Linked DNA regions of Arabidopsis thaliana. The protein of the gene in region 2 interacts with the protein of the main gene of each other region in a biochemical or structural test. Each region holds a gene or a part of one and is shown on either strand. Other genes may lie near its edges.

Region 1 (5,706 bases), 3.8 Mb from region 2:
GATTTGCCGGCACATCGCTGTTCTGCGCAATTAACTCTTTGAAAGACTCCACCGTGGAATCGAGGCTCGTCGTCACACTAAATTTCGTGCCATTGGAGCATCTGACGTTCACGGCAACAGCTACGCCTTCAGCAGTCAGCGGCTGCCTCGAATCTGCTTCACCACCCATTCTAATTTCAGATCCTAGTTCAACAAATCGCGAAATTGATCGGAGAATCAAAAGCTCTAAACCTAGAAGAAAAAATCGTAGAAGAAGATTTGAGGAGACTCGAAGCTCTAATAAGTCGGTTCTGAAGATTTCTTGAGGAAAGGGATATAAATTATTTTTGGTCGAATAACAAATGAGACTGCAGAAAATTAAAGAGTTATTTGGCCCCGAACGGCCAATTAAATGAGAATCCAGAAATGACTTGCGCTTCAGAGAACGTATCGACGACTCTTACTGGGTAAGATTGGGCCGGGTCGGGTCTAAATTGAGGCATTTGGTATATAGTTCAGGAAGGAATTGGCTGTAACTTGAATCTAATTGAAGATGATGAATCAACTAATTGGATATTCCTTTGCAACATGCCACTTCTCTCTTTGGGCAATTTGGTTTAACCTTTGAACCGGATCAGAAGGAACCAAAAATTTAATGGGTTCAATTTCACTTTGATGTCTATAAACATTTACAGATGTTGTATGTTGTAACAACTTGAAATAAGTTATCAAAGATAAACACCCAAGATATATAGGTTTAAGGGTAGTTAAAGACGAAGAGTGACCACTGATAACAAATACCGTATTGATGCGGCTTTTCTATCAACAAAGTTCACGATCCTATCATATATAAATTTTTATGAATTCGATGAATATATCATTACTGAAAAACACACATTCAAGCTGTTTATTCTATAACTGAGAAGCCAGATGGAGAGACATCAGTTCATGAACCTGTATGCTACTGTCCGATACTCCCCAAGAGTCGTTCTACAGCAGCGTTAACGTTACCATTGGTTGCAAGCAACGCCCTAATGTTCTCTGCTCTGTCATAGAATCCCATTTCCTGCAACTGTTGCAATTGAGTAGCGTACCGCTCTTCAGGAGGAACTGGAATCAAACAGACAAGTTTCAGTGGAACCATCACAACAGATGCGTAAGCTAAAAAAAATTTGTAGTCTCTAACCATTGGATTGGTTCGTGCCACTCAGGCCGCCAGCACCAAGACTGCCAAACATATTCATCAATAAATCCAGCCCCCCGTTATTTCCTGTCCCCATCAGTATTGTCATTCTACTATTAACTTGTATACGATACAATATCTGCTAAAATAAAACATACATGAAAGCAAAGAGAACTAAAGAGTAGCTGCTATACTACGTAACATAACTAAACCCTTTATACTACTGTAGAATAAATACATATAATATCTTTAAGAGTACCTGTGGCAGCACCAGTTTGCCCCGCATCCCTACAGAGAAGATAGATTTGGGAACATGAATGCGGATTGATGAAAATCAAAATATGGAGATTAACACACATAGCTTATGCTAAAAGGCATAATCAAAAACAAACAAAATGTTATGAGCCCTATTCAAGTGTATTCCAACGATTAAAATGCTTTATTTATAGCCTCTTTGATAGATGTTACTAGTGATCAGCCCAGTAAATCATACAAGAGTTGCTGCATTAGTCATGGTTCAATCCTTTTCTTATTATAGAGATCGTTCACAACCAATCTTTTTAGCTAGTTACAACATTGTCTAAACACTAAACAACCCAAAAAACAATATGTAAAGGACATGTAAATGCTCAACTTTGTTTAAGCAAATCCAAACAACGAAGGGTTTTAACAAAACTTACTGGCTGGCTGTATTTCTATTCTGAGATAGTGATTGCTGTAGAGTCATCATTTGCTGAAGACCAAAAAACAATAGAAAACATTAGGTTTAAGAAACTTCTTTACTTTGTCCCAAAAAAAAAAAAGAAAAGAAACTTCTTTACTTGAAAATAGCTTAGATACAAAGAAATGTTTCTTTTGAGAGACTACCATGTTAAAAATTCATATGCATACAGACAATAGGGGACAAACTAACCTGCATCATCTCCGGAGAACTAAACTGACGAAGGAAATCTGGGTTCTGCATCATTTCCCTCAACTGAGGATTCGAATCTAGCATGCTTCGGAGTTGTGGGTTAAGACTCATAAGCTGGAATCAAGGGAAAACAATTAATATATGTTCACAATGGTAAAAGGCTCTTAAGTTCAGATCATTCTAGGCCTACCTGATTCATGTATTGTGGATTGGAAAATACGCTTTGCATCATCTGCGATATGGCTGGGTTTTGCAATAACTGGCTCAATTGAGAAGCATCTGGAGTCGCACCAAGAGGTGAATCCGCTCCAAGCATACCGAGTCCACCAAGGCCTCCAAGGCTTCCAAGACCACCAAGGCCACCAAGTCCAGGGCTCCTCGCATCCCCACCAACATTTGTCCTTCCAGGGGCAGTTGTCTGACCTGTCAAGTAGCCCACAATATGTTCAATTATATTTAGTGTATTATGAGTAAATGTTAAATTAGAAACAATAAGCCAAGAAAATCATATGCAAAAACTACACATAACAACAAATTGTGGTAACTACACTAACTCACCAATTTACTATACACAATATTGTTCCTGAAGCAGAGCAGTGAACAGTAACGTCCATTTCTTATAAACAAGCCACTTTTTCATTTATAAAATATTACTGCATCCTTCAAAAGACAAATAAAATCGACAGGAGATTAGAAGATGAAAATGCAGTTACTTACCACCTGTAGCACCCCAAGGATTAGGAAGTGGATTTGCATTCGGAATAGTCCCCGTTCCAGCATTTGGTGTCGAAGAATTATTAGAAGCATCACTTCCTTGCGTAGTGACCCCCTGGTTTCCCAACAGAGCAGCAAATGGATTGGAGCCTGTATTGTTTCCAGCATTCCCGGACATAGTGGTAGCATTCATTAACGGTTCCTGGACATTTTCATACATACGCCTAAGCATGTTAAATCCCTCAGGCATAGACTCAATATTACTCATAGCCCTATCAGTATTCCGCATCATTTCACGCATAAGCTCTGGGTTTCTTGCCGCTTCTAGAGTTTGACGAAGGATGCTTGGGTCATTGAGCACATGACCAAGCTCAGGATTGCGATCTACAAGCTCACGCATTTGAGGGTTATTCATAATCATACTCCTCATAAACTCTGGGTTGTTCATAAGGTTCTGGATGGCTGGAGTATTCATCATATCTCTAATCATGTTAGGGTTTTGAGCTAGTTGTTGCTGTGTCTGCACAAGATCCGGAAGACCAGCTCCAAATAACCCAGACATAGCATTTCCACCACCCAGAGGATTAAATCCAAGCCCAGGGAACAAAGATTCCCCAGGACTCGCTCCTCCTAGATTCGAGCTATTATCTGAACCAACCCCTCGAGTAACACTAGGTGCAGTGGTTTGGCTTGCGGCCGGAGCAGGAGGTGGTGCTGAAGAAGGTGCAGAGCCTCTAACCATATGAATGGTGTGATCAGCCTGCAAACCTAGGTATAACATGTTCCACAGAGAATAGAATCCACAAGAATTTCAATCAATAAGGATCTACGAGAACAACAAAAGTACCCACACGAATAAATCAGAAACGATGAAGATTACCATAGCTGAGGAGAGTTTGATCGTCCTTGAGGATACGACCCTTGTAAATCAAGCGCTGCTGATTAGCTGGAACATCGCTGCTCTGAGCCACCAACTCTTTGAAAGACTCCACCGTTGAATCGAGACTCGTCTTCACACTAAATTTCGTGCCATTAGAGCACCTGATGTTCACAGCCACAGCTTCTCCTTCACCACTCTGCGGCTGACTTGAATCTCCCTCTCCACCCATTTCTAATTTCGGATCCTAATACTTAAAATAATCGCAGAGCTCGCGAAATCGATCAGGAGCCCTAACCCTAGAAAAATTCGATAGAGATTTAGAAGACTCAAAAGCTCTGAGTCGGTTCGGTAGATTGCTTGACGAAATGGATCGAAGAGAACAAAACAAGAAGACTTCTGCTTCAGAGAACGGATCGAAGGGACCGGGTCGGGTCAAAAACAAAACCCGGTTCGTTCCTTTTCTCACCCGGATCCGAGAATACATACGGCATCGTATAATAATATCATTTATCTGCTTCGTTGAGGCCCAAAGGGCTTTAGTTTATCGGTCCTGCAGTATCGTCTAACTTCATGCATCTATGAAGACTCTGAACGACATCATTTAATTCAGAATCACTCTGGCTTAACTTGTCTCCAGCCAAAAACCTCTTTGCCAAGTTTCCTTCACGAACCATGCTATAACCCGCAACGACCCGAACCTTTCTCTCCTTCACCAACCTCCTCATCATTGCTACATCTTCCCATGATTTTTCTGCAGCAAATGTGCTTGACGCAAGCAAGTAACCTGAAGAACACAAGGGCTCGAGTTCAAGAACCTCAGCTACTACCTCTGAGGTAATGATCAATTTTTTAAAACGGTTTCTGCAACCGCTAAGAATCGCTCCCCAAGCACTAGCCCCTGCTTTAACATCTTCTGGAAGATTCTTGATAAGTTCCACAGCCGTATCAATCTCTCCAGCTCGGCTAAGCATGTCTACAATGCAAGAGTAATGTTGCAATGAAGGTTTGTGATCTTCTTCTACCATTGATTTGAAGATCATGAGACCTTTCTTTACCAATCCTCCATGATTACAAGCTGATAAAGCTGCCAGATATGTCACAGCGTTTGGTGTGTAACCTTTTTGTTTCATTTCATCGAACAATGCTAATGCTTTATCCGGTAGACCATTAATAGCATATGCTGAAATGATCACGGTCCAAGAGATGATGTTTTTCTCAGTGATTTGATCGAAAGTCCTTCTCGCCATTTCTATGGCACCACATTTTGCGTATGCGTCAACAATAGAGGTACCAACTGAGATGTCATTGATGGCTAAGCTTCTCCGGATAGCAATCCCATGTGCCCATTTGGAAGTTCTCAAGTCCGCTGAAACTGAGCATGCGTTAAGAAGACTTATGACGGTGATAGCATTGGGCGTATCCCTCATGTGACAGAAGATTGAGATTGCTTCATCGGATCGGCCAGCATGGGCTAATCCAGAGATCATTGTGCTACATGACACCACATCCTTGTACGTCATCGAATCAAGCACGGTTCCTGCATCATCAACAAGACTGCAGCTTGTATACGCATCAATCAAAGAACTCAAAGCCACTTCGTTTGACTCATATCCACGCCGAATTATTACACCATGTATTGACTTGCAAGGCAATGGCTGCTCAAAAAACTTGCAAACCCGGAGAAGACTCACGACTGTAACTTCATCCACTTCGACCGCCTCTTGCACCATCAAATGAAACATCTCAAGAGCCTCATCGTACCTTTGATTATGTACAAACCCAGCCAAAATCGAATTCCATGAAACAATGTTTCGACAAGTGGTCTCATCAAATACTCTAAATGCTGAATCAACATCAAATCCTTTTGAATACATATCAATAAGTGAATTGCAAACAAACACATCTGCCAAATCAAAACCTCTCCGTATCGAAAACCCATGAACTGATCTTCCAACATCAATGTCCTCCATCACCGTGCAAGCCTTGAGAACACTTGTCACAGTCACACAATCAGGCTCTGTTTTCGCCTCATGAACC
Region 2 (6,985 bases):
AATGTGGATGAAACAATGATAAAGTGTAGAAAATAAATGAGACAAAAAATTTGTTAACAAAATTCAGTTTTTCTTACCCTCCCGAACTACATCCAGATTTCGATTTTACTAGAACTAGAAAGCAAATAGAATATATTCGCAAACGCGTAAACCAAGTACAACCCAAACATACAAAAAAATATGGTGAGAAGACACATAAAGAGTCAAAATGATTATACATTGTATTCCAAAATTATTTTTGTTCTACAAGATTAAAAGAAAAAATGATATTTTACAAAAAGAAAAACTACGATATTTATTGAAATCTGTATTTATTGAAATCTTACAAATCCATCTTTAATTTTTGCCTCTTTTTCCTATCCTTGTTTTCTTTTTGGTTTAGCCTTGTTCGTTTGTTTGCAAACAAATTTGCATTGATAGTACTGGTAAATGGAAAAATCATGAGACTTAACAAGCATCGCAACATGTTTATTAAATAGAAAGACATCATTTTCTTTGATTACGCTTTACTAGAAAATGACCTAGGCGTTGCAATATTTGTGGTGGAACATTTGAGAAATAATTTGGTGATAACTGATCAGTGATAACCTTCGTATGGTTGTGAACTTGTAAGTGAATATTGACATTGACTTTATGTTACACGGATATGAAAATTATGAAGAAAAAAACAAAGCATATGAAAATTATGAAAAGTTTTTCTCTATGGTTAGGGTTTTCTTTTTCCTATTGAAATCGTGATTCCGCATGTCCTAGTCTAATTAAATCGTAAAATTGATATAAATGCTTAGAAACCTTTGTGGCAGAAAAGGAAAATCCCATGATGATCCTTACACTTTCATGAAAACTCCATAAATGATCCACCAAACAACGAAGATGTTTTTCTCAGTTCAATATCAAAGTTCGAACAAAATCATGAGAATATGAAAAGATTAACTCTCATCCATCGCATCCCTTGATTGCGTTGAAACCGAGTCTTCAAGTGCTTCAAGGAATGAGTCCACTGTGAACTTGTCTGCAAAAGTTAAAACTGCATAAGAGAAAAAGAAACAACAAGAATGGAAACAACATCGTAAGAATCACTCACATTTACTTGGGTCTATACCAAACTGAGTCAAATCTATTTGTCCTGTGCGGAGTACCTAAAGAGAGAGATGTTGAGTTAGAATATCGACCCAAGAATGGAAACAGCATTGTCACAGATGGGCTTACATAGGTAAATGCATCTACTTGTTGACGAAAAGGAGGGCTCTGCAACAACTCCAGTATATCTTCTGCCCTAGAATGACCCTGTGATTGATTAGATTAGCCTTTGGGTTAGTCTGGTACATGACCAATGTGATTAGCCTCAGCTTAGCTTTCAATCTCTTGTTCTTTAAGCTTTAGCAACGGGTCCTTTAACAAGAGCTAAGGCTAAGGTTTCGCATCATATCAATTTGGTATCAGAGCCAGGTTAAAGGGAAGTTTTTGCTTAAAACCTCTGGTCCATAACAGACATTTTCAGAAGACAGAACTAAAATGGAGAGAATTGCATGTAATGTTCATATTCATAGAATACAGAAACATTGAAGACCAAGACATACCTCAGGTAAATGCGAAGATAGTCGTTCTTGTACCGGCAACGCCTCAAGCAATGGCATTATCAACTCCGGTTTCAAGATATCCCCTAATGCTAAACCTTTGAACGATATAACAAGAGTGGACGATGAGGTCAGTAATGAACAATAGTAGAGAGAAAGAACAATTAACAGTTGAGAACATATTATTGATCACAGAAAAAAGCTGGGCACTGCCATTTCCAACCAATGCAGACTTTAGGATAAATATATAATGTCTTCGCACCATATCATATACAAATAATTTAAAACATTGAAATTATTTACCTTCGTCTTGATCTCCAGCAATACCTAAACATTACAACCGTACCTAAATAAGTATAAGAGGGAAACCAAAAAATCCTATTGATAGGAGAACCTAGAGATAGAGAATTGTACCTACAGGGCCACCAGAGAGGTTGTTCAGAATTCTTTGCAGGTCTGCCAGCTTAACCGGTCCAGAGGACGATGTCACGTCACTCACCTCTGAAGACAAATTTGGTACAACCAAGTTTCCCGCTCTATGCAAGATGAAAAAATTCAAATAAGCCATAGCATTCTATATAAGCTAATACTTTTCACATGGTATTCAAACTGCAAATCAAGGATATTTGTTGAAAATCTTCACATAATAACGAAAAACATATGACTCTGAAATTTAAGCTTTCCGAATCTCATCAAAAAAGAGTCTGATAGCTTTTCGCAGAAAATCTATTGACCCCTGAGTGGCCATGTCTACACAACTTTAATGTGCAAAGTCCATTTACACAACTCACAAGTAGGATGTAAGTTACCAAAGCATTCCACAGATGCAACATAAGGAAAAATAGCAAGAAAATATATGTTTCAATGACACTGACCACAAAGCAATCAACCCATTTCTGAAGATAAAATGGTAAGCCAGTTATGTACTTTGCAAAACCGACAGTGAGACTATCACTTTGACATTAATCAGTACCTAGATGATGTATTATCCTCTGCCATGTCTTCCAGCTCCTCCGTGATAGCAGCTGCAAGTCCTTCTTCACCAGGAAACTCTGGTGCACAGGAAAATTTATTAGATTGATTCAACCTTTTCGTCTTATGCAATTGACTACGTATTGTCACTATCAAGCATGCGTAATACACATAAAGAGATGAGAAAATAACATTTACATGCTCATATGTGAATTATTGCAGAATCTTAGTGACATTATAAGTAAAAAGGCTACAATTTGTGGCGTCCATTCCATCTGGGATAAGAGAAGTTTTCGAGTGCTAAAAAACAATAACACATTTTAGCTCCTCACTTCAAACTTTTCTTAATACGCAAACCAACAATGACAAGCAAGAAATCAAACATACTCTTGCAAATCTGATCTTTGATATATATTAAAAACTTCTTCACCATTCAGTCGATAAGCGCATTAGACTGATTGGTAGTCACACTCAAGATCCATTTACGCAGGAAATTTAAAAAAGTGGTTCCTTCTATGGTACAATTACAACTAAATTTGGATTCGATGAAATATAAAAGCAAGCAGAAATATGGATTTGAACCAGTGTTCTACAACCAAGGCGCCACCTATTCGTGGCAAATTTTTTCATATTCATGATGGAAACGATTACATGAGCTAATGAAAAGAAATTGTTGTGCATGCTATTTGGAAAGGGAAGCTCCTTATAAATATTAGTACCATGAAACTATTACCAAATCCGCGTTGACACATAAAATGCCAGATGAATGAATGTACGAAGGAATATGTATTTTAATTTTAAGGATAAGAAAGCTAGTTTGCTCATCATGGAAGTTGGAAGGTTAAACAGTAAGAAAGACATTAGTACAAGGATGCAGTCATATCCTAGACTGTTTGTAACAAGGTAGGAATGTTACATGCCTAGTGGTTGATTGAGGTATTGATTGACTGAAGAGCACAATTCTGCATCACCTTCAGCTCTTGGCTCCTGCAAAATAATTTAGAAATAGAGTTCTGAGAGACAAACAAGATCAAAGATATAAGTGATTAAGGTGAACAAACATACAAACATATCTTTAAGAAAACAAACAAGTAACCTGCATCCAGAAGAATAACTTGCGGTCATCACTGTTGAACTTCAGAATATACACCCTGTCTGAGGATTGATTAACCTTTTCAAATAGAGCTTCATCTGGGAAAACAATTTGATCCTATAAATAGGTATGGTCAAGGAGAAAACTTCGTAACTGGAACATCTGGTAGCAACAATTAATAAATCCTTCAGTTTTTGTTCTATTCATGCATGGCAAAAAATAAAAAAACCTCCTAGGTGGATAGAGCTAAGAAATTTGACCGTCTTGGGTCACGAATCCACTGGTATAGCAAAGACTTGATACTAGGAGAATCTCTAGTCCTTTTCTAAAATTCAAAAAAACAAGTGCAGAGGATACATCTTCTACTGTATTCTGGTTTCGATCAAGCCACTGGAAATGAATCAGTCCCTCGTCACCCTAAAAGAAAGGATAACAGGATTAAAAAACCTAGGTTAACATTTACAGAGAACCAGTAATAAACGTGTTCTGACACCAACAATTAGATTCCGATATGCTTTAACTTCAATAGGAAAAGCTGATACACTCCAACGTTCAATGGAAACGAATAAATTCAAATTACTAAATGGAAACTAAAAGCGTCGACATTACTCTAGCTATGCGGACAAGTCCTTTTCGTGCATCAGGGACAACTCTTGTTCCCTGCAAAGACATCTTCCCAGCACGAAACTCAAGCATGATCTCCTGCCAAAATTAGTCCAAACATAAGTGTAAGAACCTTCGTAATTAGTCTAAGAACAATAAGAGAAAGATAAACACCACCTATAGTTACCTGCATCACGGGAAACGCTTCGCTTGAACTCATAATCACCACCTCTTTCTAGTGAACACTATTCAGTAAACAGAGAAATCAGAATAAATTCAGCTTGGTGCTCTTAGATCAAGGCTTAAAACAAGTTCTTCTGCAAAGTTTATTGACAACAATCATATGTATACTAAAGATAACGAAATCCGTGAAAATTGCAAAACCAAATCTCGAACAGAGCAGATTGAAGCGAAGATAACAAAACGCTAGGGTTACCAATCTTCGTAGAAATTGAAAAAAAGAGAGAGAGAGAGAGAGATTTACAACCTTAAGGCTAGTGTGTTGACAAGGTTAAAGAATACCTTAGCAGAGGAAAGTTCGCGAGTAATGGATTTTGGAGAGAAAGAAAACGCTTCTCGTTTTTTTTTTTCTTTCAATTGCGTCGTCTCTTGTGTTTTTTCTTTCTTCTTGTATAAACAAGGGCCCCTATAAGGCTACAAACAACAATTCATCCGAACAACTCCAAGCCCAATCCGAATTTTTCTTCATTAGGCTTTTAATTTTTGGGTTTGCTGCAAACAAAACCTGTAAGTCAATTTCGTTTACAAATCTACCATTCATATCCGAACTATACAAGTTAATCATATGAACTCTAAAGTCATCCGCAAAATAAACTTCGGTCATATCGATGACGTGACATCGCTAAAAAGGACATGAATTTCATTAGTTTCTTGTGCCATAAAACATAACAAAAAATGACATGAAAATTAAAGAAAATATCCATTGAAATATCGATTTGGGGGAAACATTAAGGTTTAGAGAGTAGTTCATTTGGAAGAATTCGATATGGGAAATGATGGTATCGTGATCCACTTAGATTACAGAGTGGTTCGATTGAGGTCATATTATTAATCTATATTAAGAGAGTCAAATTGATTTAGAGGGTTTTTCGAAATAACTATCTTTTTTATATAAATTTTAAGGTGCAAATGATTGCCTAGAATTAAGAAGTTGAAAGAATTGAATGAGCATTCATCTAATATTTTACCATTTAAAATGAATAAGTTGGAAAAATAATACAACCATTTCAAGTTGGAAAAATGAACTAATTATTAAAAATAAAGTTATAACTTGTTCATCTCATATTTCGCAGAGGAATGAGTTGAATATCGCAGAGGAATGAGTTGAATAGTATTCAACTTTTTTTTTTCAACTCAAATTTTCTATTTTTTTTCATCGTTATCCAACCATTTGCAGCCTTAATATATTCAGTTCAAGTGAATGATCAGATCACTTAACTTAGAAAACTCACATTATTTATTGCAAACTTAATCACTTGATTATTCCATAATCTAATTAGGCTAATTCTCTACCAAACCTCTCTCATATCACTTAACGCAGCCAATATCTAAATAGTCTGCTAAATTCTCAATCATCCATCTTTCTATACAAAACTAAAAAGTTAAATTATAAAGTCTACAAGAAAAGTTGGAACCCTAGTAAACAAACATACATTTTACAAACAGAAAAAAAGCACTTGAGAAAAAGTAATACAATGAGGTCCATACACGTCTGATTTAGCTGTAATGTTGGTACGTCCAAAGAAACTCACCGTCCAACCACATCACTACTTAACCACTACGAAATTTCCATCTTATTATTCTTCTTTATCATTTCTTATTAAATTCAATTTAACTTCTTATTTTAATAACCAAATAAAAAAGTTTCAACAAGAATAAAAAAAAAGTAAAGTGTTATTCATATATTCGACAGTGACGAAAACAAGAAACTCCAATCAAACCCAAAAGCCCAAAACCCAGAAGAACAAAAAATCTCTCTTTTGAAAATTCTCCTTTTGCAAATCATTCAAGTGAAGCACAATCATCTTCTTCTTCTTCTCCAGCTTCATCAATCTCTTCTAGACTTTTTGCGTTTACCTGAAAAACTGTTTTGATCGTAAGTATCTGATTGCTTCGATGTCGCTGTCGAATCAGATTCCCGTTTACTCTCGATGACCCTTTGCTTCTTCTTCCACTTTTTTTCCACAGTTTTCTGATAACTCTTCTCAGATGAGAAGTTCTAAGTTACTTCTTCTCAAGTTCTTCTTCTTCTTCTTCTTCAATCTGACTTCGCTTGGTACAGTGTCTTTCTATTATTAATTCTATTGCTAAAAAAAAAATTCTAGGTTAAGTTTAAATTTCAATTTTCAACTCTTATTACGATGTTGGGTTTTGCTAATTTCGTTGATTGATCAAACATAGTTGAATCTTAAATGTTATGATTTTGAATTTCTGGTTGTTTTTTTTCTGATGATTTTTTTTTTTTTTTTTTGATCTTTAAGAGTATCAAGTTGATGGAGCATTTGTTGGAACATATGGGATAAATTATGGAAGGATAGCTGACAACATACCATCTCCGGAGAAAGTAGTTTTACTTCTAAAGCAAGCTAAAATTCGGAATGTGCGTATATACGATGTAGATCACACTGTTCTTGAAGCTTTTAGTGGAACTGGTTTAGACCTTGTTGTTGGACTTCCTAATGGGTTTTTAAAAGAGATGAGTTCAAATGCTGATCATGCT

What was found.
Region 1: the proteins of RPN13 (region 2) and DSK2 form a complex in vitro, tested with the Arabidopsis thaliana proteins (one study listed by BioGRID).

Annotation. Positions count from the first base shown.
Region 1 is NC_003071.7:7,481,193-7,486,898, forward strand, and holds DSK2 (ubiquitin family protein), read right to left. Parts: upstream 4,049-5,706; 5' UTR 3,899-4,048; coding exon 3,670-3,898; intron 3,558-3,669; coding exon 2,793-3,557; intron 2,499-2,792; coding exon 2,266-2,498; intron 2,190-2,265; coding exon 2,076-2,189; intron 1,896-2,075; coding exon 1,843-1,895; intron 1,451-1,842; coding exon 1,422-1,450; intron 1,250-1,421; coding exon 1,166-1,249; intron 1,090-1,165; coding exon 941-1,089; 3' UTR 689-940; downstream 1-688. Other genes in the region: AT2G17190 (ubiquitin family protein), read right to left, coding at 1-169; AT2G17210 (Tetratricopeptide repeat (TPR)-like superfamily protein), read right to left, coding at 4,206-5,706. UniProt on the Arabidopsis thaliana protein: Binds and presumably selects ubiquitin-conjugates for destruction. Prefers multiubiquitin chains rather than single ubiquitins, with a binding affinity for 'Lys-48'-linked ubiquitin chains.
Region 2 is NC_003071.7:11,310,253-11,317,237, forward strand, and holds RPN13 (regulatory particle non-ATPase 13), read right to left. Parts: upstream 5,273-6,985; 5' UTR 4,768-5,272; exon of another isoform or gene 4,491-4,767; 5' UTR 4,466-4,490; coding exon 4,433-4,465; intron 4,345-4,432; coding exon 4,252-4,344; intron 4,060-4,251; coding exon 4,000-4,059; intron 3,760-3,999; coding exon 3,646-3,759; intron 3,537-3,645; coding exon 3,470-3,536; intron 2,630-3,469; coding exon 2,551-2,629; intron 2,114-2,550; coding exon 1,992-2,113; intron 1,905-1,991; coding exon 1,881-1,904; intron 1,676-1,880; coding exon 1,581-1,675; intron 1,288-1,580; coding exon 1,210-1,287; intron 1,140-1,209; coding exon 1,085-1,139; intron 1,013-1,084; coding exon 930-1,012; 3' UTR 705-929; downstream 1-704. Other genes in the region: AT2G26600 (Glycosyl hydrolase superfamily protein), read left to right, coding at 6,475-6,541, 6,747-6,985.